Linked DNA regions of Diceros bicornis minor. The protein of the gene in region 2 purifies or fractionates together with the protein of the main gene of each other region. This does not show direct contact. Links are inferred from orthologs where the notes say so. Each region holds a gene or a part of one and is shown on either strand. Other genes may lie near its edges.

Region 1 (8,005 bases), on a different chromosome or scaffold from region 2:
AGAGAAAAATTGTATAAAAATCAAAGAAAAATTCATTCCTTTAGCTGTGATTTCCTTCTTATTAAAAATTGAACTTCAAATACACTCCAGTTCAAATGAAGTGAATGGATCTTATGGCTGGATGAGAAGAGAAGGGTTTCTGGATGAAAAATTCAAAACTTAAAAATCGCATAGGAGGAGGGCCGGCCCGTGGCTTGGCGGTTAAGTGCGCACGCTCTGCTGCTGGCAGCCCGGCTTCGGATCCCGGGCGCGCACCGACGCACCGCTTCTCTGGCCATGCTGAGGCCGCGTCCCACACACAGCAACCAGAAGGATGTGCAACTATGACATACAGCTATCTACTGGGGCTTTGGGGAAAAAATAAATAAATAAAATTACTAAAAAAAAAAAAAATCATACAGGAACTAGAAAAAAATCCTCATTTCTCAGACCCAATAATCTTGTGCCTTTAATAACTGTAACAGAGGGTGTCTGGATATTTGATTATATTAGAATGAGTATTCTAACTAATTTAAAAACTTTTAAAGATTATGCTCTGGCAACAGAGATTCATCCACTTACAAATAATATCCCCAGCTCCAAACATATCATATATAGAAAGAAACTAAGGCAGGGGAAGGCATGAAACTAATAACTGTCATTTTTGTTCACTGTTAATAAGTGGATTATCAAGTAGTGGGCCAATAAGTATATTAAAGACATAAATATTTGATTGATAATTATCCCTGCCAATTCCTCCAGCTTAAGGAGAATCCTCTTTCTTAGCCCTTCCACGAAGGGCTATTGCATTTTCTGGGTCTTCCAAGAAGGGCAATTACAGTCTGCTTCCTAGAGGGGTCTGATAAACCAATGTCTCCCTCAGGGTATGACTGAAAGGATAATGGGCTGTTATCTTTTGGCAGCTCTAAGAGATAAAAAATGCTTGGGAGTTGGTCTGAGGAGAAAACTGACCTCAGACTTTGGGTTACTGTCTTCAATGATGAGTAGACTACGGCACTCAGAGAAACTTAAGGTCTCCCAACTTTCTCACCTGAAGGGGTTTCAATAGTGTTTTCTATTAAACTTCATATAGAATAACAGAAACAAACTTCATGTCTTTTGCTTAATAATTCTTTTGACATTTCCGGTCCAGACATCCACTCCCAGGAGAGTTGACATCACCTGGAACTGCTTCTTTGAAATCTGAATCCAAACATTCCTGTTCTTCCAGGTCCCTTGCTCAGGCTAATCCTTTCATATTGTCCTTGTACTTAACAGGATCTGAGTCTCTTAACCCTTCTACTCTGCTTATCAGCCCTCTTTTCTCTTCACTTAGACTTCAACTAACTTAGTTGTTAACTACTTTCTTTCAAATACTCTCAAGTCAATTATCTCTATTTAGAGAAGAGAATTCAATGAGATAATGTAGGTAAAGCAGCGGCAGAGAGAAGTGCTCAGCAAATGGTAGCCAACACCGCTTCTATCACTACCAATAACATACATAACATTCTCTTGTTCCTTTGTCATTCTATCATACCAGCCTGTATGTCATACAATCCTCGGCTGCTAATTATTGAAGAAAATCACTAAATTGCCCACGGACGACAGTAAATTCATGCTTCCAGCCTTAACTGCCAAGCAATTTCTACTGTTTCTCTCATCAGTCTTCTGAAATTTGAGACTACTCTAAAACTTCTCCAATCTCCTTAAATCTCCTACCCATCTCTTCCTCCCTTCATTCTCATTCTCTTGCTTCACAGAAAAAAAAGAAACCGTCAGAAAGAACTTCTCCAACTTCCAGCCACTAAATCCTCCAACCTTTCTTCAATTGCACCTATCCTCCCCTGCTTCCCTCCTCTGACAATGGAAGCACAGTCTGGTTTACTGCTAAGGGCCAATGACTCCACATTCCCTCCCACTCACTGTCATCCTCACCCACATTATCTTTAATCTCTCTCTTCATTGGCTCCTTCTCATCAATATTTAAACATATTTAAATATATCCCACCTTCAAAAGTTCTTTTTATGCCAGCTACCTCATCTCTCTTGTGTTCCTCCCACTCAAACTTTTAAAAAAGGTTGTCCACATTAGCTGCCTCTATTTATTTACTTCCCATTCATCCTTTGTCATTGTAATCTGGTTTCCATTACCACACTCCACTGAAACTGTTCTTATCTGCTTTATCAATAACTCCAATAACTCCTTCTCAAGTTTCCTTTCATTTGACCTGTCAGCCACCTTTGGTACATTGATCACTTTCTCCATGTGAAACACTGTTTTTAGGAATGCTCCCTTTCCTAGAACTCCTCCTACCTTTCTGACTGCTTCTTGTGAGTATCCTTTGGGGTCTCGCTCCTCTTTCTCTGTCCATCCTTAAATATACAGTTCCTCAGAGTGTGGTCAAGGACCCTGTTCTTTTCATACTGTGAAATTAATTAAACAAGAAGGCCATTAGACTGAGATGGCTCTAATGCCTTGGCAGTCTACGTAAACAAACCAAAATCTAAGCCTATGAATGCCTCAAGATTACAAAATCTAAATGCTAAGAACAACAAATCACAAATACCAACTGGCTTTAAGCTATAGCCAATCAAATACAGTCATGTGCATGACACGACCTTAGAGTCAACGAGAGACTGCATATTTGACAGTGGTCCCATAAGACTATGCTGACCGACAAAAAATCACTACTGTTTAAACAGCAGATATTTATTTGAGCAATTAGAATTGCAATTAGGGAGGCACAGATTCAGGTAGAAACCCAAAACGTGTTCTGATTACAGGAGAGGGTCTTAAGGTTTTTATGGGAAAAAGGGAGGATGAGGTGAGCTGTTTTAAAGAAGAGTTCATTGGTGCTAGACGAGGTAAGGCTAAGTTTGTACTTCATTGATTCGCTTAAGATTTGGTCATCAGGCAAAAGGCTAAAACTTGTACTTCACTGATTGGTTAGCAATTCGGTCACCAGCAAAGTCCAGTTTTATCAGTCCTTACAAACAGTATATTCTTGTCCTTACTGATTTCTTGGATTGTCGGTGGTTTGGTCCAGTTTGGAAGATAAAGAAAATAAGACGTGCAAGGAAATTCCTCTGAAACAGCTACTCTGGATCTATTTTAATATGGCTCCACTCATGTCATCCTCCACAATTAGTACCATATAGCCTAGTGTGTAGTAGGCTATACCATTAGGTTTGTATACATACATTCTGCGATGTTCACACAATGATGAAATGACCTAACGACGCATTTCTCAGAATGTATCCCCGTCATTAAGCAACACGAGTATAATTTCCTTTCCTGGCTGCCACATCTCCTCTAGCATATGCCCTTCCCCTGGCTCCTGTTGGCACTCTTAACTGCATCTGGTTTGGCCCTGCCCAATTCCAATCGACTTCTGCTCAAACACTCTTAAAATTTTTAATATGCCTCAGTTTATCTTCTAGCAATACTCTATATATCTCATTCCCTCCAATCCACCAATACGCTAATCTATATCCCAGTTTAGATCACCCCCTTGATCCATACATCAAAATACTTACGCATCCATTACGCATTCTGTCTCCAAAGCTGTTTCTGCCATGTTCTCTCAGTGAAGGGCTTCACTACCTAACGGGCTTTCCAAACCAGAAATCTGACATCATCCCGTTTCTTCTCTCTCTCTCTCACTCTTTATATACAATCAACTTCCAAGCCTAGGCCATTGTACTTGCTGAAGTAGCTCTCAAATCATTTCAGCTGACATCCAGGCCATCATTATGTCATATTTCTTAAGGGGTCCTTTAGGTACCAATCTTGTCTGTTCTAATCCACTCTCCATACAAAGCCAGAGTGATTTTTCAAAAATGTAAATTGCATGGTGCCACTCCTATGCTCAACATCTTTCAATTTCTTGTTGCCTTTAGCATAAAGCTTTAAAAACTCCCTAGCATTTCCTTCTCAGTCTCAATTTTCCACTCCCCTTTTGCAAGCAATCTTCAGCCATTCTGAACTTCTCTGAATTCCTAGACGGCACGCTTGCAGCCTCTGAGCTGTTCCCTCAGCTGAAATACACCGTCTCTTCCCTTCTTTTTCTAACCAACCCTTAAGCTCAACTATCTGTATCACTTTCAGGAAACTTCCTGACCCCCCTCCAGTTTGAACTCCGCTTTAGGTGTTCCCAAGGCATCATGTACTTAACTAGCAATTAAGAGTATTGTCTTGTAATTACTTATTCCCTAGTCTACAGCTCCGCTTGACTTTAAGTCCCTGGAGGACAGAAACCAGGTGCTCTTAAACTTTCCATCTCAAGTACCTAAAAGTAGCGGCTGACACACAAAATAGTAGTTCAATTAATATTTGTTGAACGAATAACTATTCCTTTTTGGAAAGAGGGCGGTCAGGAGAATACCAGAAAGACGAGGGCTCAAAGCGGACAGAGTAAAAAAATCTATACGTAACGAATGGCATGGATACAGAGTACCTAGGTTATCCCACAAACTCGGCCTGCGGGGTCTAGGCCCACTGCCTCGCCCCAGGCCACGGCGACTACGGGCCCTGGAGAGCAGGCGCAGGGGTCACACGACCCCAGGTAAGGAAGGACAATCGCTTGGAATTCGGCCTCGTGCTTCCGGTGGGGCAGCATCGCGCCTGGCCGGTGAGGCCCGCGGGTTGGGGCTCCGAGCCTGCCCCACGGCGAGGAAGGCGCGGCCCCCGGAGCTCCCGTCGTCGCCGCCGCCTCCTCCGACGCCGTCGCCCCGCCCCGGAAGTGACTTGAGGCCCGTCCGGAACCTCGGGCCCGGCGGCTGCAGCGTCACCAGCGGAGCCGGTGCGGGGCGGGCGGAGCGGCCGCTGCCGCAGCCAACGAACCAGGCACCGCGCGGGGCCAGCAGCGCGCCGGCCAGGGGAGGGGATCCGGCGGTCGGGCCGAGGACGACGGGCCGCCGGCGGCCGCGGGGCGACGACGACGCGGAGGAGGCGGAGCCCGGAGAGGGGTGGGGGCCGGGGAGGGCTAGGGTGGGAGGGTGGGGGGGTGTCCCTGGGCTCATGGAGCCGGCCGAGCGGGCAGGCGGCCGGGATCCCCCGGAGCCGGGCGGGCGTCCCGGGCCGGAGCCGCGGGGCTTCGTCCCGCAGAAGGAGATCGTCTACAACAAGCTGCTGCCCTACGCCGAGCGGCTGGACGCCGAGTCCGACTTGCAGCTGGCCCAGATCAAATGCAACCTGGGCCGGGCCGTGCAGCTCCAAGAGCTGTGGCCCGGGGGCCTCTTCTGGACCAGGAAACTCTCCACGTAAGTGTGCCCGGGCCTCAGGATGGGCCCGGGGCAGAGGCTCACAGGAGGACGTCGGGGGTGGGGGACGGCTCTTTGTCCCACTGGACCGCAGGACCCTTACCTCTGCCCCGGCTCGAGCCGGTGGTCCCCGTGCAGTCGTCTCAGGGTCACGGCAGAAGCCTTGGAAGCACTTAGACCTCCTCCCTGCCACTTTCCTACGGAACCTCCCCGGTCCTCACCAGCCCTCAGTGTCCTCCCCTGCTTTTTCTCCCCAAGGATTCAGGTTGTTTTCCGACCTGCGGGGCCCCCAGGGAAAGAGATGAGCGGTCCCCCAAGGGGGCTCCTTGGACCTTTGCCCGTGGGGGAGGGGAGGCACAGAGGATTCGTCTTTGAGGGGAGCAACTCTTGACTTCTGGTGCTTCCTCCGGTTCTTTCCTCCCCTACGGTCCCCGCCTCTTCCTATCCCTCAATTGGCCTCTGGTAACTTTCTGAATGGGAAAGAGGCCGTCGGGAACTTCTAGGTTCTGCTTTTTTGGGGCCTGCTCAGTCTTTGTGGATTTGATTGAAAAGATTGATTTAAGATCCGACTTCAGCGCATTCTTGGACTGTTCACTAGACGTTAATGTTGAGAATGTTGAGTTTTAGAACCTCGGCAAAATGTATATTGCTCCTGTTGTGACATTTCGTTTGGAAACGTACAGCGTTAAGGAAAAGAGGAGAGCTGTCAGGTTGTCCTGGGTGTTATTTGTATCGGGCTTGTGTTAATTTTTGAGTCGCTCAGATAAATATAGATTACGTAAATCAGTTTCAAGGATTCTATTCTTTTTTTATTACTTTTTTTTTGTATAAACTAGCTGCAAACTGTAGTGCCACTGAAATTAGGGGGAAAGGGCGAGTAAAAATACAGCTGGGTGGGAGGGAAGATTTTAGAGACTTTTTGCTAGGTGGGAATCTTCATTGTGTCAGAAGAACTTTTTTAAAAAAAGATTTTGTTGTATCTTGTATGGTTAACTGTACATAAAATCTGGTAACATTGTATGTTCATGCATGTGGGTATGGGTGGGTGAACACGTAAGACATAAGTCACTTATCCAGTGTTTACCCAAATCTGCTGAGTGAACTGGGTGATGACTCAGGGTTTTGTAACGCAATAGTCTTCTCCACATTTCCTCACAGGATGATTCTTATCTGCCGTTTATGAAGGAGTCTCTGACAGGTTTCTCATCTCCATTTGGTGGTGGTGGTGGGAATAATAATTGCTTTTTAATTAATAAAGCAGAACTCAAACACGTAATTTGCCCTTTTCAAAGAGTGACCATAAAATGTCAAGGTTAATGGCCCTCTTGATTTGAATGTATAGAAGTTTGTGGTGTTGGGATCCATAGGAGACTTGGGAAGAAAAGAAATGCAACAGGGATAAGAACCACTTTTAGTCAAAACAGAAAAATGTTTTATAAATGATTAAAATTCAAATGATTTTTTAAGTGAGCCTCCTAGGTGTGTTTGTGTTACTCGGGCACAGTAAAAATAAAGTTACTTTGTCATTCCAGTAATTCCCCATTTTTATCACCTGGATTCGACTTGCTAGAGAATAACCATTTGCGGGGGGACATAAGCAGTTCCTTTTAGATGCACAGTGTATAAATGTACCAGTGTGTGAATGCATATCTAGATTGGATTTAGGAATCTAGAGTCTACACAGGTATAGGTAAGCATTGTTTTCTGACATATTTATTGTTACTTACTAAGTTTCGCGGAGTAGCACCTAGAGTTTTATTATTTTTGGTTTATTATGTATAAGTAGTTTTTACCTAGAAAGGGCTAAAAATACAGTGGCGACGGTCTGTGGTGTTTAGGGCAAGACTGCAGTTATGTGGCTTAATAATCTAGGAATCCCAAACCATTTATATCTAAATAACCAGCAAGAAATGCTGTGAGATAGAATTTTATTTTGGAACAGTGGTTAAATGCTGCAGACTGATTCTTGGGATTGCGCTATGAGACATTTTGAACTTGGTGGGACATGTTGTGATCTTGGATGTATTTTTTCTCCTAAGTCATGTTAAGGTGACCTGTTTATAGATGTGCTTGTTTTTTAAGCCTTGTGTGTGGTTGCACAAGTTTACATCTAAATGATGCCAAAACATGTGATGATAGCTTTCAGTTACCTGAGTAGTGATCATATTGAGTACTTTGTAGAAGAATGGAAAGTAGTAATGAAAATCTAATTGCTGCCACTAGCTCTGTGACTGTGGGAAAGTTACTTTAATCGTGTATTTCAGAATTCTTGTGGGTGAAACGATGGGGTTGGATTAAGTAATTCTTGAGAAACATTCCTGCTCTGATATTTTATGATTTTATTTTTTATCTTGTAGAGCCTCAAGCCAGTGTGTGTCTTTCTACAAGGATTGTTTGAGGACTTTGTAAAGTATTGGAAATTGTTGCATAAATCAAATACATTCCTAAAGAAGACCAGAGTGTAGATGCTATTTAGAGGCACTGGGACTGGATCCCCTAATCTGGGTGTCATGGGTCTGTGTATCGTCAAGTTCTAGTTTGGGAGGTACTCAGACGCCCCTTTTTTGAGTTTTACGTAATTTTAGTAGTTATTGTAATTCTGTTTCAATCCATTTCAAGACTTGCAGGTGTGTTTAGCATTTCTGTGAAGAAAGGTTAGTTCTTTGAATTTTAAAAATTGGCCTTGTGGTGTAATACAAGCTCTTTTGTACAGACAGTTTAAAGTATTAGGACTGCCTGTTCAAGAGAGATTGTGTGATGTAAT
Region 2 (7,840 bases):
CCTGAAATCATTAATTTAAAACTAACCTAGGGGGCCGGCCCCGTGGCGTAGTGGTTAAGCGGCGTGCTCCACTGCTGGGGGCCCGGGTTCGGATCCTGGGCGCGCACAGATGCACCACTTGTCAGGCCATGCTGTGGTGGCGTCCCACATAAAGTGGAGGAAGATGGGCACGGATGTTAGCTCAGGGCCAGTCTTCCTCAGCAAAAAGAGGAGGATTGGCATGGATGTTAGCTCAGGGCTGATCTTCCTCACAAAAATAAATAAATAAATAAAAATAAATAAAAACTAAAACTAACCTAGTACTTACTAGTGATACTTCTTTTATCATACAAAACCATCTTGTCGTATTTATTTGTTTTCTTAATGTCTTAGACCTTTCTATGGATTATATCTAATACGTTGCATCCTCTATAACAGCTAGAAGTACATTCTACTCTTCGAAGTGATTTCAGATACATTATTGTGATGACACAGAACACCTGTAGAGATACTGACTTGGTTATTGCTCTACCTAGATACTACTTCATGCTCAAATCACTTCCATGTCAAAGGCTTTAGTATTCAAAATAATGGACAGATTTACTCTCAAAACAAATTTACTCCTTTGGAAAGCATGGTTTACAAATAGAACTCCTACAAACTAATCATGGAATTTCATAAAGTAATTTGACTTGAAGAACAATCCACATCATAGATGTTTAACAAACCACTTTTAGGTCTCTCTTTCTTCTTCATAATTTTATTTATTTATTTATTTTTTCCCCCAAAGCCCCAGTAGATAGTTGTATGTCATAGCTGCACGTCCTTCTAGTTGCTGTATGTGGGACGCAGTCTCAGCATGGCCGGAGAAGGGGTGCGTCGGTGCACGCCCGGATCCGAACCCGGGCCGCCAGCAGCGGAGCGCGTGCACTTAACCGCTAAGCCACAGGGCCGGCCCTCTCTTTCTTCTTCAGAAAGAAGAGAACTCAAGCAAAGTCCCTCAATTCTTCCCATCTTCCCAAGTGATGACAGCCTGACCATCAGACGCCTGTCCCTTACACAGGCAGTGGTGGATACTTTTTTGCCTTTGTTCACATACTTCAGGAAATCCCAGATTTGATCATTTTTCTTTTCCTTAAACCCAAAATGAACTGTTATCTGCCCTGTAAACTTCCCCTAATCTCTACAACTAGAAAGAATCTCTTCGTCTGGATTGCCTAAAAACAATCTCTGCTTCCTGTGCATTATCTGATAAATTTCATTGTACTTTTCACATGCAGCATCATTTTCCAGCTTGTGTTATAAGTATTTGTACACGAGTCCCTTATTAAATTGTAACTTCTTTTAAGATACGAGCCACATCTTATTCTTCTTTGCATCCCTTCTGCACCTAGCACAGAAGTGCCCAAAACCTATTTGTCAAGTGAACACGAAATCATCTGAGCCAAAGCATAATACTTTTTCAACAGCAGCATGTCTACCACCAATTATGAAAACACAATCTTAGATTCTGCAGATCAACAAGCAAAATCTTTTTAAAATTATTTGGGGCCAGCCCAGTGGCAGAGCAGTTAAGTTCACGTGCTCAGGTTTGGCAGCTCGGGGTTCGCAGGTTTGGATCCTGGGCGCGGACCAACGCACCGCTTGTCGAGCCGTGCTGTGGCGGCATCCCATGTAAAGTAGAGGAAGATGGGCACGGATGTTAGCCCAGGGCCGGTCTTCCTCAGCAAAAAGAGGAGGGTTGGCAATGGATGTTAGCTCAGGGCTAATCCTCCTCACAAAAAGAAATTTAAAAAGATTATTTATTGAGAACTGACTATAGGGAGACAGTACAGTATAGTCGTTATGGGCAAAAGATACGTAGTCAAATTGCATAGGTTCAAAGAACCTGGATTCTGCCACTTGGCGCCTTAAGCAAGTTCCTTAACCTCTACACCTCAGAACTATCACCTGTAAAGTAGCAATGTAATAGCGCCTATCTCAAAAGGTTAAATGAATTAATGTAAATCGCTTAAAATAGCACCTGTACTTAGTATTTCTATTACTTAGAAATTCACTTAGAATTTAGTATTAGTATTTCTACTTAGTATTTATTAGTATTAGTACTTAGTATTTCTACTACTTAGTACTTACTAAGTACTTCTATTTAAGTAGTTGGTATTTCTACTACTAAGTATTTGTCACTGTGCTAAGCATTTGCACAAAACTTTTTCTCTCAAACCTCCCAACAAGCTTGGGAGGCTGGTATTACTAACCCGATTTAACAGATGAGGAAATCTGGGAACTGCGAAATAACTTGTACAAAGTCACAAAGCAAGTAAGTGACAGGGCTCCAGTCCCCTAACTCCACTAACTACTTAAATATAAGGAAAACTTGCCAACCAGTGCCCTGGAAAAGGAGAATCAGAGCTGAGACTCGGGAAGACACAGGCAGCACAAGGGAAATGCCAGGTTTCTAGTCCCACAGTCTCATTCTCCCCAGGCTCCCACCTTATGCCGCCAGCAAACTAATCTCAGTAGTAGCGACCACAGGAAACTTATCAGCGATTTGCGAGTCTCTAGGGAGCCTGGAGCCCGGCAGGCGCTTAAACACTTGAAAACTGAATTCCTTAGGCAACTCTCGCCCAGCAAGCATTTGGCGAAGGCCAGAGCACAGCACTGACCCAGGAACCCTGGGGGAAGTGAATGTCTAGCCCTACGCTTGTCTGCCTGTCTCCTAGTTCCAAAAAACAAGCAAGTGCTGATCAGGGCAGACGGGCTTCCACCTCCCTGGTACTCACCCAACACCCCACGAACTCCCTCCGACTGCCCCTACACCCAGGCCCGGCAGGGCCTCCCCTACTTCCTCTCACCGTCCTTCATCTGGACAATATTGCTAGCGGCCACCCGGTCGGAGGCGACAAGGACATAGTCGGGGCCCTGGATGCCGATGAGGTACTCCATGGTGGCAGGAAGCCGGCGGCTGCAGCTTCGACAGAGCGTGAGATTCGCCGGCTCCTCGGCCTCACCAGTGAGACAGCACCACCGAGCGAGGCGTCGCGCAATGCAGGCCGCGCGACGGCCCGGGCCACCGGCGCTCTCGGATGACGTAAACCGTCGCGAGACGTTGGAAAGTGGGCGTGGCGTTGGGTGTATTACACTCTGTGCTCGCCTGTTGGCCTGTCCTAGATTTTTTGCAATCCCGGGTGTAAAGGCGGCTGATGTTATGTAGCGCCCAGTTTCTTTATTTATAAATTGAGAGCTTAAAACTCGCTTGAGGATGAAATTACGCACTATATATGAAGTGCCGAGCCCACGCGGGTGCCAAAAAGGCGTGCATGCCTTGATGGCCGTTTCCCTTCGTTGCTCTGTAAAATATCGCCATAAACTCCTTCTCTGCAAGCCAGATTAGAAAGAGAAAAATAAACTTTAAAAATAAACTTAAAAAAAAAAAAAGACAGGAGCCCTATTTACATGTTTCACAAAAATAGAGATCTAAGCATAAAGACTAAAATCATAAAAGACCTATTTACAGATGTTCCGACCTCAAATTATATGCAGTTGTTACCTTTGGTAAAAATGATTTGAAGGGAGGACTCACTTTTTATTTTATATGCATCTGTATTGTTTGAATGTTTCGCAATGCTCATGTATTACACATTTTTTTAAATAGGAAAAAGCACAACCATCCCTTTATATCCTGCATCCATTCTGGGAAAAACTGAAATATTCCATGATTGGTTTCTGTCATCCACGATTGAATCTTCATACTAGCCATTCTAGCTTCCTCAGAAACAGAAAACCAGATGCAGTTGTATCTCCAAGCACAACTATTCAATTCACTTGCTTTTGCAGAAATGCATAGTCCTTACTCTGTTCTGAATGTTTCTTCCAGCTCTCTGTCCATAAAGGAACATAGAGCCTGAGGAGTTTGGGGCAGCTCATTTATCTTGGGAGGGATGCCAGGAGCAAGTGAGGTCATTAAGTCAACCATCCCAGTATGAACACAGATGCATCCATCATCCTAGAAAGATCCTTTTCTTAAACACCACTGGGGAAGAAGTCCCTTAAGTCTCTCTCTCTCCCTCCCACTCTCCCTCTCTCTCCCTCTCTTGCATTGTATGTGTTTGTGTGTTTTTTAAGTGCAAAAAATACATAGTTATACTATACACACACACACAAATAATACAGAAGAACTGAAGAGTTAAATCTCTCTCCTGCTCCCACCAGAGGTAACCTACCCACCAGATGCCTGTATTCTTCCAGACCTTTTTTCCTTTGGACATACCAATATTCATTCATTCATTCACAAAGGCTGCAGAATTCTGAATTGGGAAATCCAATTTAAAAAAAGGACTGTCCCAGGGGCTGGCCTGGTGGCATAGCAGTTAAGTACGCACGCTCCCCTTTGGAGGCCCGGGGTCCACAGGTTCAGATCCCGGGCCCCCATGGATGCACCGCTTGTCAAGCCATGCTGTGGCGGCGTCCCATATAAAGTAGAGGAAGATGGGCATGCATGTTAGCCCAGGGCCAATCTTCCCCAGAAAAAAGAGAAGGATTGGCATCAGATGTTGGCTCAGGGCTAATCTTCCTCACACACACACACACAAAAAGGACCACCCCCCACCGTACCCCCCCCCCCGACACACACAAAAGGACCCAAGGATCTTTCAAGCTGGCTCTTCCCTCTTCCTCCCCAGGACTCTTTTGAAATCCCCTGTAGCTGTCACACTCGAGATGCTCTAACTTCTTGTTAGTGTAGAAGAAAGTGGATTTTCAAGACCTAACCTGTTCTATCTCACTGAGAATAGAGGGACTCCCTCCTCCAACTAAAGTCTTAGAATAACTGAGTCTTAGAATTAGAAAAAATGTCTGTGGAGGTTCCAGAAACAGCATGGTATAGCCAACTTGCTCTGTAAAGGGCAAGATAGTAAATATTTTTGGCTTTGCGGGCCAAACGGTATCCATCACAACTACTCAACAATGCCATTGCAGTACAAAAGCAGCCATAGCCAATACTAAATGAGTGAACATGGCTATATTCCAATAAAACTTTATTTACAAGACCGGGGAGGGGAGGGGGGAGGTGGATTTGGCTCATTTGGCCATAGTTTGCAGATCCCTGATGTAGTGGGAGGCCTGTAAATCAACACTTAACTCTGGTCCCAGCCCTACGTTTTCCAACCTTGGTGCAAAATTCATTGAGCTTCAATTTCCTTATTTATAAAAGGGACATTCAAAAGGGAAATTTGCTTTGTATCTCTCTTGAGATGGAAAGGAGTTGCAGGTTTGGTTGTTTCCATGAGTATAAGGACCCATACCCTGCTCCTTCATGGGGAGTTTGGTAGGACCTTAAAGAAGAATGACTGCAGTGTGCCTAGGAAACATGGCCATAATATGGGAGGCTACCAGCCTTTCCAAGACTCCCAAGCCCAAGCTTGACATGGAAGCATCAGCACAAGCCCACACTCAAAAAAATCCTGTGAGCTTAGACAATAGGGTCGAGATAATGGTAGACTGGATATCAGTGGGCCACCTCTAAATATTCAGAAATGTTAATGCATTGGATACTATTGATGCCCTGCCCATATCCCCTTTACCTAACTGTGGTAGCTGCTATCCCCAGCTGCTGTAAATGTTGGTTGATAACAAGTGACAACTATCCCTTTATTCAGACAATTTCTTTCAACCATCTGGGAGGCATCCTTGCCTGGGAGGCTATGCACAGTCAGCCAATGACTGACTGACACAGGGCTAAAAGATCAATTTCCTTAATTTATAGTGGGATAAAACTTGTCCTCCCAAGTTTCCCCGTGGATCAGTCTAAAGCGAGTCTCCAGCGAAGACCACATTCTTGCTTAGCTTTCTCCCCCTACCTGATCTTCTTTTTTTTTTTTGCTGAGGAAGATCAGCCCTGAGCTAACATCCATGCCAATCTTCCTCTTTTTGCTGAGGAAGACTGGCCCTGGGCTAACATCTGTGCCTATATTCCTCCACACTTTATATGGGACACCGCCACAGCATGGCCTGACAAGCAGTGCATCGGTGCGCACCCGGGATCCGAACCCCGGCCACCAGCAGTGGAGCATGCACACTTAACCGCTACACCACGGAGGCCGGCCCGGATCTTACTTCTGTTACTCCCTTTCTCCTGAGAGTACTCCCCCAATAAATGACTTGAATAATCATTTTGGTTTGCTTCTAGGAAACCAAACTAAAATATTTGGTACCAGGGGCCGGCCCCGTGGCATAGCAGCTAAGTGTGCATGCTCTGCTGCTGGTGGCCCAGGTTCGGATCCCGGGTGCGCACAGATGCACCGCTTGTCAAGCCATGCTAGGGTGGCATCCCACATAAAGTGGAGGAAGATGGGCACAGATGTTAGCCCAGGGCCAGTCTTCCTCAGCAAAAAGCGGAAGATTGGCACGGATGTTAGCTCAGGGCTGATCTTCCTCACAGGCAAAAAATAAATAAATAAAAAAGTAAAATATTTGGTACCAAAAGTGATCCCAGAAAGCAGTCTCCAAGGGATTCTGGAGTGGGATCACTCACCAGCTGGATGACAATGAGGACGCCAACACTGGTGGTAGAAGGAATAGTCACAGCCTCAGAGCTTATAACAGTGCAATTGCTTAGACTTTCCCCTGTGTTGAACTAGGATGGGCTACATCAAAGACATTTTCAGTCACAGACAAGCTGAAAAAATTCATCACTAGAAGACCTACACTACAAGAAATATTAAAGGATCTCCTTCAAGTGGAAAGGAAATTGTACCAGATGAAATCTTCAATCTACACAAAGGAATGAAGAGCTCTGGAAATGGTAACTATGTGGACAAAAAAAAAGGCTTTGATTCTTATGATTCAAATGTCTTTAAGAGATCATTGACTGTTTAAAGAAAAAATAATAAAAATGTGTCATGGGGTTTATAGCATATTAGAAGTAAAATGTAGGGCAACAAAAGCACAAAGCCACGAGGGGAGAAATTGGAAGATACTGCTGTAAAAGTTCTTATATTATATGCAAGGTAGTATAATATTGCTCGAAATTAGACAATGATAAGTAAAAGATTTAAGTAATAAACCCCAAACAAACACTAAAATAACACACGGTTATAGTTAATAAGCCAACAAAGGACATAAAATGGAATAAAATACTCAATCTAGGGCTGGCCCCGTGGCTTAGTGGTTAAGTGCGCGGCTCCGCTGCTGGCAGCCTGGGTTCAGATCCCCGGCGCGCACCGACGCGCCGCATCTCCGGCCATGCTGAGGCCGCGTCCCACCTACAGCAACTAGAAGGCTGTGCAACTATGATGTACGAATATCTACTGGGGCTTTGGGGGGAACAAATAAATAAATAAAATCTTTAAAAAAAATACTCAATCTAAAAGGAGACAAAAAGAAGAAGAAAAAGGGAAGAAAAAAACATACGGAGGGGGCCGGCCAGTGGCTTAGTGGTTAAGTTTGCATGCTCTGCTTCAGCAGCCCGGGGTTCGGTTCCCAGGCGCGGACATGTGCACTGCTTATCAAGCCATGCTGTGGCAGGCGTCCCACATGCAAAAGTAGACGATAGACGAAGATGGGCACAGATGCTAGCCCAGGGCCAATCTTCCTTAGCAAAAAGAGGAGGATTGGCAACAGATGTTAGCTCAGGGCTAATCTTCCTCACCAAAAAAAAAAAAAACACCAAAAACTATACAGGACAAATAGAAAAATAGCCATATGGTAGATTTAAATACAATGATACCAATTATCACATAAATGTAAATGATCCAGATACTCCAATTGAAATCCAGAAATTGTCAGATTAAATAAAAAAGCAAGACCCAACTATATGCTGTATACAAGATACCCACTTTAAATGTAAAGACTCAAAAGACTTGTA
Region 3 (7,291 bases), on a different chromosome or scaffold from region 2:
TCCTCTGGCATTCTAAAACACAAATAAAAAACTATTAAATACAAAAAATTTTTAAAATTCCACACTGAACACCTAGGTTAAAAACACTGCTTAGGCACTAGAGAGAAAAGATAAGGTCTCCGCCCTCAAAGAGCCCACAATCTAGACAATTAAGATGAGCCTTAAGCATTATGGTAGAGAGACATACATGGTACAGTGAATAATACTGAATTTGAGGATAAGAAGGATTCCTGAGTTGATCTTTGAATGATGTCAGATTGAAAGACATTCCAGGAAAAAAAGAACATGGGTAAAGCTATAAAAATATGAATGTACAAACCACAAGTAGTGTGAGGTGACTAGCTAAAAAGTTGTATAAGCGAGGCAGAAGTAAAGGCTGGCAAAATGAAAAGCCTTAAACACGCAAAGAAATTTGAGTTTTATTCTGAAACTGATAGAGAGTCTCTGAAAGGTTAGGGCATGATCAGATTTACTTTCATTGGAGAGATCCCTCCCTTAGGTTGGAATGATTAGCACAGAACGCAAGAAGTCGAGGACAGAATCCTGAGGAATACCATTCCTTAAGGACAAGGAAATGGGATCAAGAACGGACAGAATTGGGGCCAGCCCGGTGGTGCAAGCGGTTAAGTGTGCACGCTCCACTGTGGCGGCCCAGGGTTTGCCGGTTCGGATCCCGGGCGTGCACCAACACACTGCTTGGCAAGCCATGCTGTGGCGGCGTCCCATATAAAGTGGAGGAAGATGGGCACGGATGTTAGCCCAGGGCCAGTCTTCCTCAGCAAAAAGAGGAGGATTGGCAGATGTTAGCTCAAGGCCGATCTTCCTCACAAAAAAAGAAAAAAAAAGGGACAGAATTGCTAGAAGAGTGGTCACAGAAGCTAATAAAAAAAGGAGTTTCAGAAAGTATTTGGTTTCTATTACAGAACAGTACTACCTATGAAAAATAAATGTATCTAATCAGAATAATGAAAAACAAAAACAAAGACTCACAGTGCATTTGGTAGTGATGTATCATCACCCTATGTAATACTATAAAACACTCACCAAATATTTATTAAGCATCTATTATGTAGCAGGTACTCTGCTAGATGCTAAAGATACATGTTTACCCTGGGTTCCAGGGCTTAGTCTAATGAAGACAGATTAAACAAACAAATAAAATGTAATAAATGTTACAACAGGTAAAACACAAGATACTGCCTTTAAATCACTCACTGCTCATGTAAAGTATCCCTGCAATTCTGCAGAAAAACTGAAAACTGCTAAAGGTAGTTTGGTATTCAGTCTTACACTATTCTAGGAGAAACTATTCTGAGAAACCAACTTTTTTACTAATTTCTTAATTCATCTGTATACTTTATCTGGTCAGGTACTTGATATCCTGTGCAGGGTTTCTTCAATCTACCATTGCAGTCCAGGCTCCAACCTGGATAACCTCAAGCGCACTCTACTGGGTCTTGCTGCCTCTACACTCTTCCATTTTCCAGTTCTGCATATCAAGGTTTTCCTAAAACACACAACCTCTCCTACCAAAGCTGTTAAAACACCTTTCACTGATTCATCCATGTCTTGTCTGATTCATCCATGTCTTGTCTGAAGAACAAAGTCCAAGATCCTTAGCCTGGAACTCAAGAACCTGCAGAAGAGGTTTCAATTCTCCTACACAGAAGTCACAGTCAATCAGGAAAAGATCTGGAATCTAGTGTGGACTGTCACTAACCTACTATGTGACTGTAATCAAGGCAGACAACCTCTCTGACCCTGTTTACTCATCTGTACCAGGTACCTGAACTTTTTCCAGGACTAGAGCTGTACGACTGTACCTTTCCAAACATATGCCCTGTTACTTTCCTGTGTGAACATTCTCCTCCTCCCAGGTTGCTTTATTGTAAAATGACAAAAGAAAAGTTTCTTCTACACACAAAGAAAATGGGAATTCTGATCTCTGTGTTCTACCGTTATCATTTTCCCAATTTCCTTCTGTAAAATATCAGAATTAGTATTTATGTTTCTAATCAAGTAGCTGAGGAAAACCAATCTATGAAAAGTTAATTATCAGTAGTCACACTTGGGAGTGTTTACAAAATCTCTTTACAATGATCAGCAGTATTTACCAATAGAAGCTTTCTAGATTTGGATGGGCTAGCAGCAGTACTGGTACCAGAGTCAGGGCCAACGCGACTCAGGAATCCTTCCCAAATACCACTTTTAAGTTATAAAGAAAGAAAGAGAGAGAGGGAGGACAGAGGAGGAGATGCACTAACAATACTGACAAACGGGGAGTAGCAACTGTCTGATTTTTTTTTCCTCCTCCAACATCTGGCATACTACAAGCTCCCGAAAATGCTTGTCGAGTTATAAAAATGAGACTCCTGGTTGGGGGCTGGTTGTCAGGGCGGTTCCGAGGGCCAGGGGTGGGTGAGCGTTTTGAGAGCTCGGAACTCCCCGAGGTTCTCCCCGCAGGGAAGGGCAGCCGGCGGCGCACCACACAGAACGCGACACTTTCGGTTTTGTCCTTTGCAGATCCGCGCCAACGCCGGGGAAGGGACCGGGACCTACCGGGGAACTTGGGGACCGCAGGGCGCAAACCGAGAGAAAAGGGGGTGGTAGAAGACCATGAAAACGAAGCGCCGTTCGCGGGCCCTGCGCCGGAGCCCGGCCCGGGCGACAGCCACGAACTCCCCAACCCCGTGACTCGGCAGAACATGGCGCGCGAGGCCAGCCTCATCGCCCTGCCGCTGCCGCCGCCGCCGCCGGGGACGGGCTGGGAGGCGGCGGCCTGTTCCTGCAGGGCCACAGTCCCGAGCCCGCCGGGAACTCGGGTCGCCCGGGGTCTCACTCACCATCTTCAACACGCTCTGCGCGCAGCCTCTCAGCCCGGTTACCGTCAGCCGGCCCCGCCGCTCACTTCCGTTTCCGGGGCTGCCCCCCCACATCCGCCGGAAGTGCGTCCGTCCGGGCGAGGAAGGAAGTAGGGCGCGGGTCGACGTGAGGGAGCAGCGCGGGGCCGGGGCTCCCACGCCTGAAGTCCCGAGGGACCGGGGGCCAAGGGCGCAGTAAGGGTGTGGGCTGGGAGGAGGGCGGGGTGGGGACGAGATGTGCCGGAGGAGAGGGAAGACGCGCACCTCCGCTCTCTTAATAATAAACATCTCCCGTTCGTACAACAGTGGAAGATGTGCAACGTGCTCTGGAGATGCATCGCCTTATATAATACAAAACCTCCTTGAGGTAGATACTGCATTTTTCATAACGGGAAACGAGGCTTAGGTGAGATGAGTGATTTGCCTGCGGTCATTCAGCTAGTAAGGCAAACGAGGAACACAAGGCTTTTGCCAGTTTATTTTTTAAATCATTCGTGGAAGGACTGCTATGTTTAGGACCCTGTGATGAGGCTAAGAATTCAGAAAGGAATCGGGCTGGGGTGGTTCCTGGGCTAGAGGAGCCGGGGAAGTGGGTGTGGGACAACTAAGTAAATATGATAATTACTGATATGTAGTGGGCTCTTACTAGACAGCAAAACAATTCTAAATGCTTTACACGAATTATCTTTTTTAATCCTTTCAGTTATCTTATGAAGTAGATACTATTACCCCAATTTTACAGACAAGGAAACCAAAATATAAAAGAGGTTAAATAGATAAGGCCCAAGGACCCCTAATCATAGCGCTACAGTATTGCTTTCCAAATATAATGTGATAAAATGACCTTATGCTCTGTCACTATATAATGGAGATAACTTAAGGAATCCTTGGGCTGATAGCCAAGGGATGAGAGTGAACTAGTTTGAGGTAGGTGAGTATATGAAAGAACATTACTGGTAGTTTTGCTTGTGCAAAATCTCAGGTGAGAAAGAAGGCCTGTGTGGCCTAAGTTCAGGGTAATGTGAGATGAGGCTGTAAGTAGATGGAGGCAAGTTTATTATAGAGGCCCTTGTGCACCACACTAAAGATGAGGCTTTATCTTTAAAAAACCATTGAAGGATTTTAAGTAGGGAGGTGATAAGATCATATATGTTATGCATATCCACTGCCTTGCTGTTACAACCTTGAAGTTCTGCCCTGCTTCAGTCAAGTATTGTGCACTGCTGTCTTGATATGTCTTCTGGCTCTTCAGAAGATCCATATTTACCTTGAGATTTGAGCTTGAGTATTTCATTTGCATCTTTTTCCTTTCACTGAATTCCAGCTAAGGAAAAATTTTAGAACTGCTACTCTTTTTTTAAAAAATTGTTTTAATGTGTGTTGATTGCTCACAATTCAGTCATTAAATATTTGTTGAGCATTTGCTTGGTACTAGATTCTGGAGCTAAAGAGAAGAAAAAGCTGTTTTCCTATACTTGAGATGCTTTTATTTTCCTGGAGGAATAGACATATAAACAGATATTTAAAGTCCAGTGTTGTAGATGCTTAATCGAGAAAGGAGCTGGGTCAGGAAGTGGTTGGGAACAGGGAAAAATGGCATTTCAAGAAGAGGAAACGTGGAAAGGCAGGGATTTGCAAAAGGGCATGTTGTAATCTGAACAAGGAAGAACATTTCCATGTGGTTGGAGTTCTGGCTGAGTAGGTGGAACAAGATGAGATGAGATTGGAGGGGTGGGTTGGGGCCAGAATGAAGGGCCGTTGTATCGTGTGCTAAAGTTTGGGACTTTTTCTTGTAGGAAACAGGAGATAATGGAGGTCTTTTCACAGACAGTTGACATTAAAAAAAAAAATCATTCTGGCGGCAGCATGAGGGATACACTGGAATTGGGAGAAACTGGAACCAGGATACCATTTCGAGTGTTGCAGTAGTCCAAGGCAGAGATGATAAAGGTATAAATTAAGGTACTGCAGCATATTGGAAGGACTTTGAGAAGCAGTAAATAGTAGGCATGAACCTGAAAAATACTCGAATTCAAGAGGCGGCCAGGGGAAGGGGAGCCTTCCACGGAGGCAAAAAAGAAATGGTCAGAGAGGCAGAGAAAAACCAAACTGAAGTGCTATCTTAGAATCTAAAGGGCAAGAAAGTGTTGAGAGGTTGAGAAATAGCTTAAAGGAGAGGTTAGAAAGTAGTTTTAAAGTAGCTAAAAAAAGATAATGAAGTCCTGAAAATGGGCCTTTGGTGACCAATGCACCACCAAGGAGAAAAATTGCCTTATTTTGAGCAGTACACACATGAATATTTATATCCTTTTAAAGAGGTTTTGTGACAGTATTAACTAGTACAAAGCAGTGTTGAGTATGCTAAAATAGTTTAAAGAATTAAATTAGATTTGATACTAGAATGGTTTAATATGTTTGCTTAAGTTTTATCTGTGTTATATTGTTTGGAAGATAGAATATTAAGAAGAATAGCTAACATCTGCTATGTGTCAGGCCCTGTTCTCAGTTCTTTATATAAAGTTTTAGTTAATCTTCAGTTACTGTATGAAGTAGGTACTACTGTTATCCACATTTGACATAAGAAACATGCTTATTGTATGCATTATATGAGAACAAATACCTTATTTTACTTTACTTTTCATTGTCTTCCTTGAGTTTACTCTTAAGCCAGTCTGATGACTTATGTAGACCAATGAAGACAACTTCAGCATCATTGACAACATCTGGCAAGAATCCTCCTCTTGTGTTCTAGCTCTTTCCTCATTTGTTACCTTTGGCTGTCTCCTGTTTGCATCCCATTCCTGTACTTCATCTTGTCAACTAAATTTAGTTCTCCTGACTTAAACTGTGGTGCTCCCTAAAGACCTAGAATTACACTTACTCTTTGGCTCTTTTGCTCTTTGAGTTCAAGCTCTGGGCACCCAAACCCAACCACCAGCCTGCTGGGTTGGACCCCTCTTAAAGTCTGGTTTATGTGTGCAGCACAGTGCCTTGCATACTTTAAACAAGCACTAAGAAACGTGCAGGCCTTAAGAAAGGTCTTTACATCTAATATGTAGTGAATGTCTCTTTTTAGAACTTGGGAGAAGCTAGAAGAGGCATGGAGAAGAAAGGTAGGAAAGTGTCTCACTTAAGGAATGTCTCAGGAGCCAAAGAAGATCTGCCAAGATAAAGGAACGACCAATGATGTCAAGTATTGTGATTATAAGAAAATCAATGGAGTTTGGCAAATGGGTGTCATTTATATGATCTGGTGAGCAATTTAAGTAAAATGGTGGGAGCAGAAACCAAATTGCTAGCAATGGAAGAATCAGTAGTTAGAAAATGGAGGCATCCGAATTTTGTATTAATCTTTTCAGAATGTTTGCAGTCTCAAAAAAGGGAAACAGGAATTTGGTTTGAATGGAAATTGGGTTTTGTTTTTGTTTCATATGTATGGTTGGAGGGACTAAAGTTTGTTAGGCAGATATTAGAAAGAGTCAGTGAAGGTGCAAGGGTGAAGATACCAGGGAGAGAGAAGAATTGGTAAGGCATGATTGAAGTAATGACCTCTTAGATGTCCAGAGCAGGTGTGAGGGGAGATCAAGGGCAGAGAGAGAGAGTGGCTAGCCATGGAAGGAGTACGTTTCTGAAACAGGAGAAAAGATGGAAAACGTGGTGAAGAAAGAGAAGTCCCAAAGTGTGGAGGAGAAATGTGGGAACTGAAATCTGATCACCACTGTTAGTAGTGATGGGGTGAGTGGAGCTGGTGGTGACTTTAGAAGAGCAGAAAGTTGAAAAATCGACATGTAGAATGCACTAGCAAATCAGTAAGATGAATTAAAAAACTGCTCAGAATCATAAGGACATGAGTGAGTGTGAGTAACATCAATTTGTAATAGGCTCGATCAACACGCTTGCACTATTTTCTGCAACAGTTCTCAGCAACACAGGGTAGAGAAGGGGATTCACAAAGTAGACCTCATGAAGAGTAAGTAGGGCAGAGATTCTAGGTGACCATATGGTACAAGGGGGTCAGAAAGGCAGAGGAAGTGATTAGAAAGGAGTACAATGACACTCCTCTCCTTTGTGCTCCAGTAGCACCTGCCTTCTAGTCTTACAGCTTGCTTATTTCTCTGGACTGCACGCTCCCTGAGGGTGGGGACTGTGATCTGTGTACCTGTGAATACCCACCCTCTGGCACAAATATTTATTGAATGCATGTTGGGGAACTTAGAAGAAACTCCCATCCAGAGTACTGGCTGGTGCTGAAACATGACTGGGAAGCAGGTGAATGAATACTGCCAGGCAATACCTGAGGTTGGTTATTGGGAGATGTAAAAGCATGCTGAGTTGAATTCTCATGCCTCCAAAAGTAGAGAAAAGGTAGTGTGAAGCAGATGGCATGCACTTCAAAGAAGAGGTGGTTGAGTGATCATGTTAACGATCAA

The links. The genes of interacting proteins can lie anywhere in the genome.
Region 1: the proteins of PSMB2 (region 2) and PSME4 purify together in Homo sapiens (affinity purification with mass spectrometry; 3 studies listed by BioGRID and IntAct, counting the BioPlex papers as one, with this or other methods). This does not show direct contact. The link is inferred for Diceros bicornis minor from reciprocal best matches to the Homo sapiens genes PSMB2 and PSME4.
Region 3: the proteins of PSMB2 (region 2) and POMP purify together in Homo sapiens (affinity purification with mass spectrometry; 5 studies listed by BioGRID and IntAct, counting the BioPlex papers as one, with this or other methods). This does not show direct contact. The link is inferred for Diceros bicornis minor from reciprocal best matches to the Homo sapiens genes PSMB2 and POMP.

The regions. Positions count from the first base shown.
Region 1 is NC_080751.1:32,399,867-32,407,871, forward strand, and holds the start of PSME4 (proteasome activator complex subunit 4), read left to right. Parts: upstream 1-4,997; 5' UTR 4,998-4,999; coding exon 5,000-5,241; intron 5,242-7,999; exon of another isoform or gene 8,000-8,005. UniProt on the Homo sapiens protein: Associated component of the proteasome that specifically recognizes acetylated histones and promotes ATP- and ubiquitin-independent degradation of core histones during spermatogenesis and DNA damage response.
Region 2 is NC_080752.1:49,937,725-49,945,564, forward strand, and holds the start of PSMB2 (proteasome subunit beta type-2), read right to left. Parts: upstream 3,010-7,840; 5' UTR 2,923-3,009; coding exon 2,832-2,922; intron 1-2,831. UniProt on the Homo sapiens protein: Non-catalytic component of the 20S core proteasome complex involved in the proteolytic degradation of most intracellular proteins. This complex plays numerous essential roles within the cell by associating with different regulatory particles.
Region 3 is NC_080748.1:11,860,863-11,868,153, reverse strand, and holds the start of POMP (proteasome maturation protein), read right to left. Parts: upstream 3,009-7,291; 5' UTR 2,937-3,008; coding exon 2,844-2,936; intron 13-2,843; coding exon 1-12. UniProt on the Homo sapiens protein: Molecular chaperone essential for the assembly of standard proteasomes and immunoproteasomes. Degraded after completion of proteasome maturation. Mediates the association of 20S preproteasome with the endoplasmic reticulum.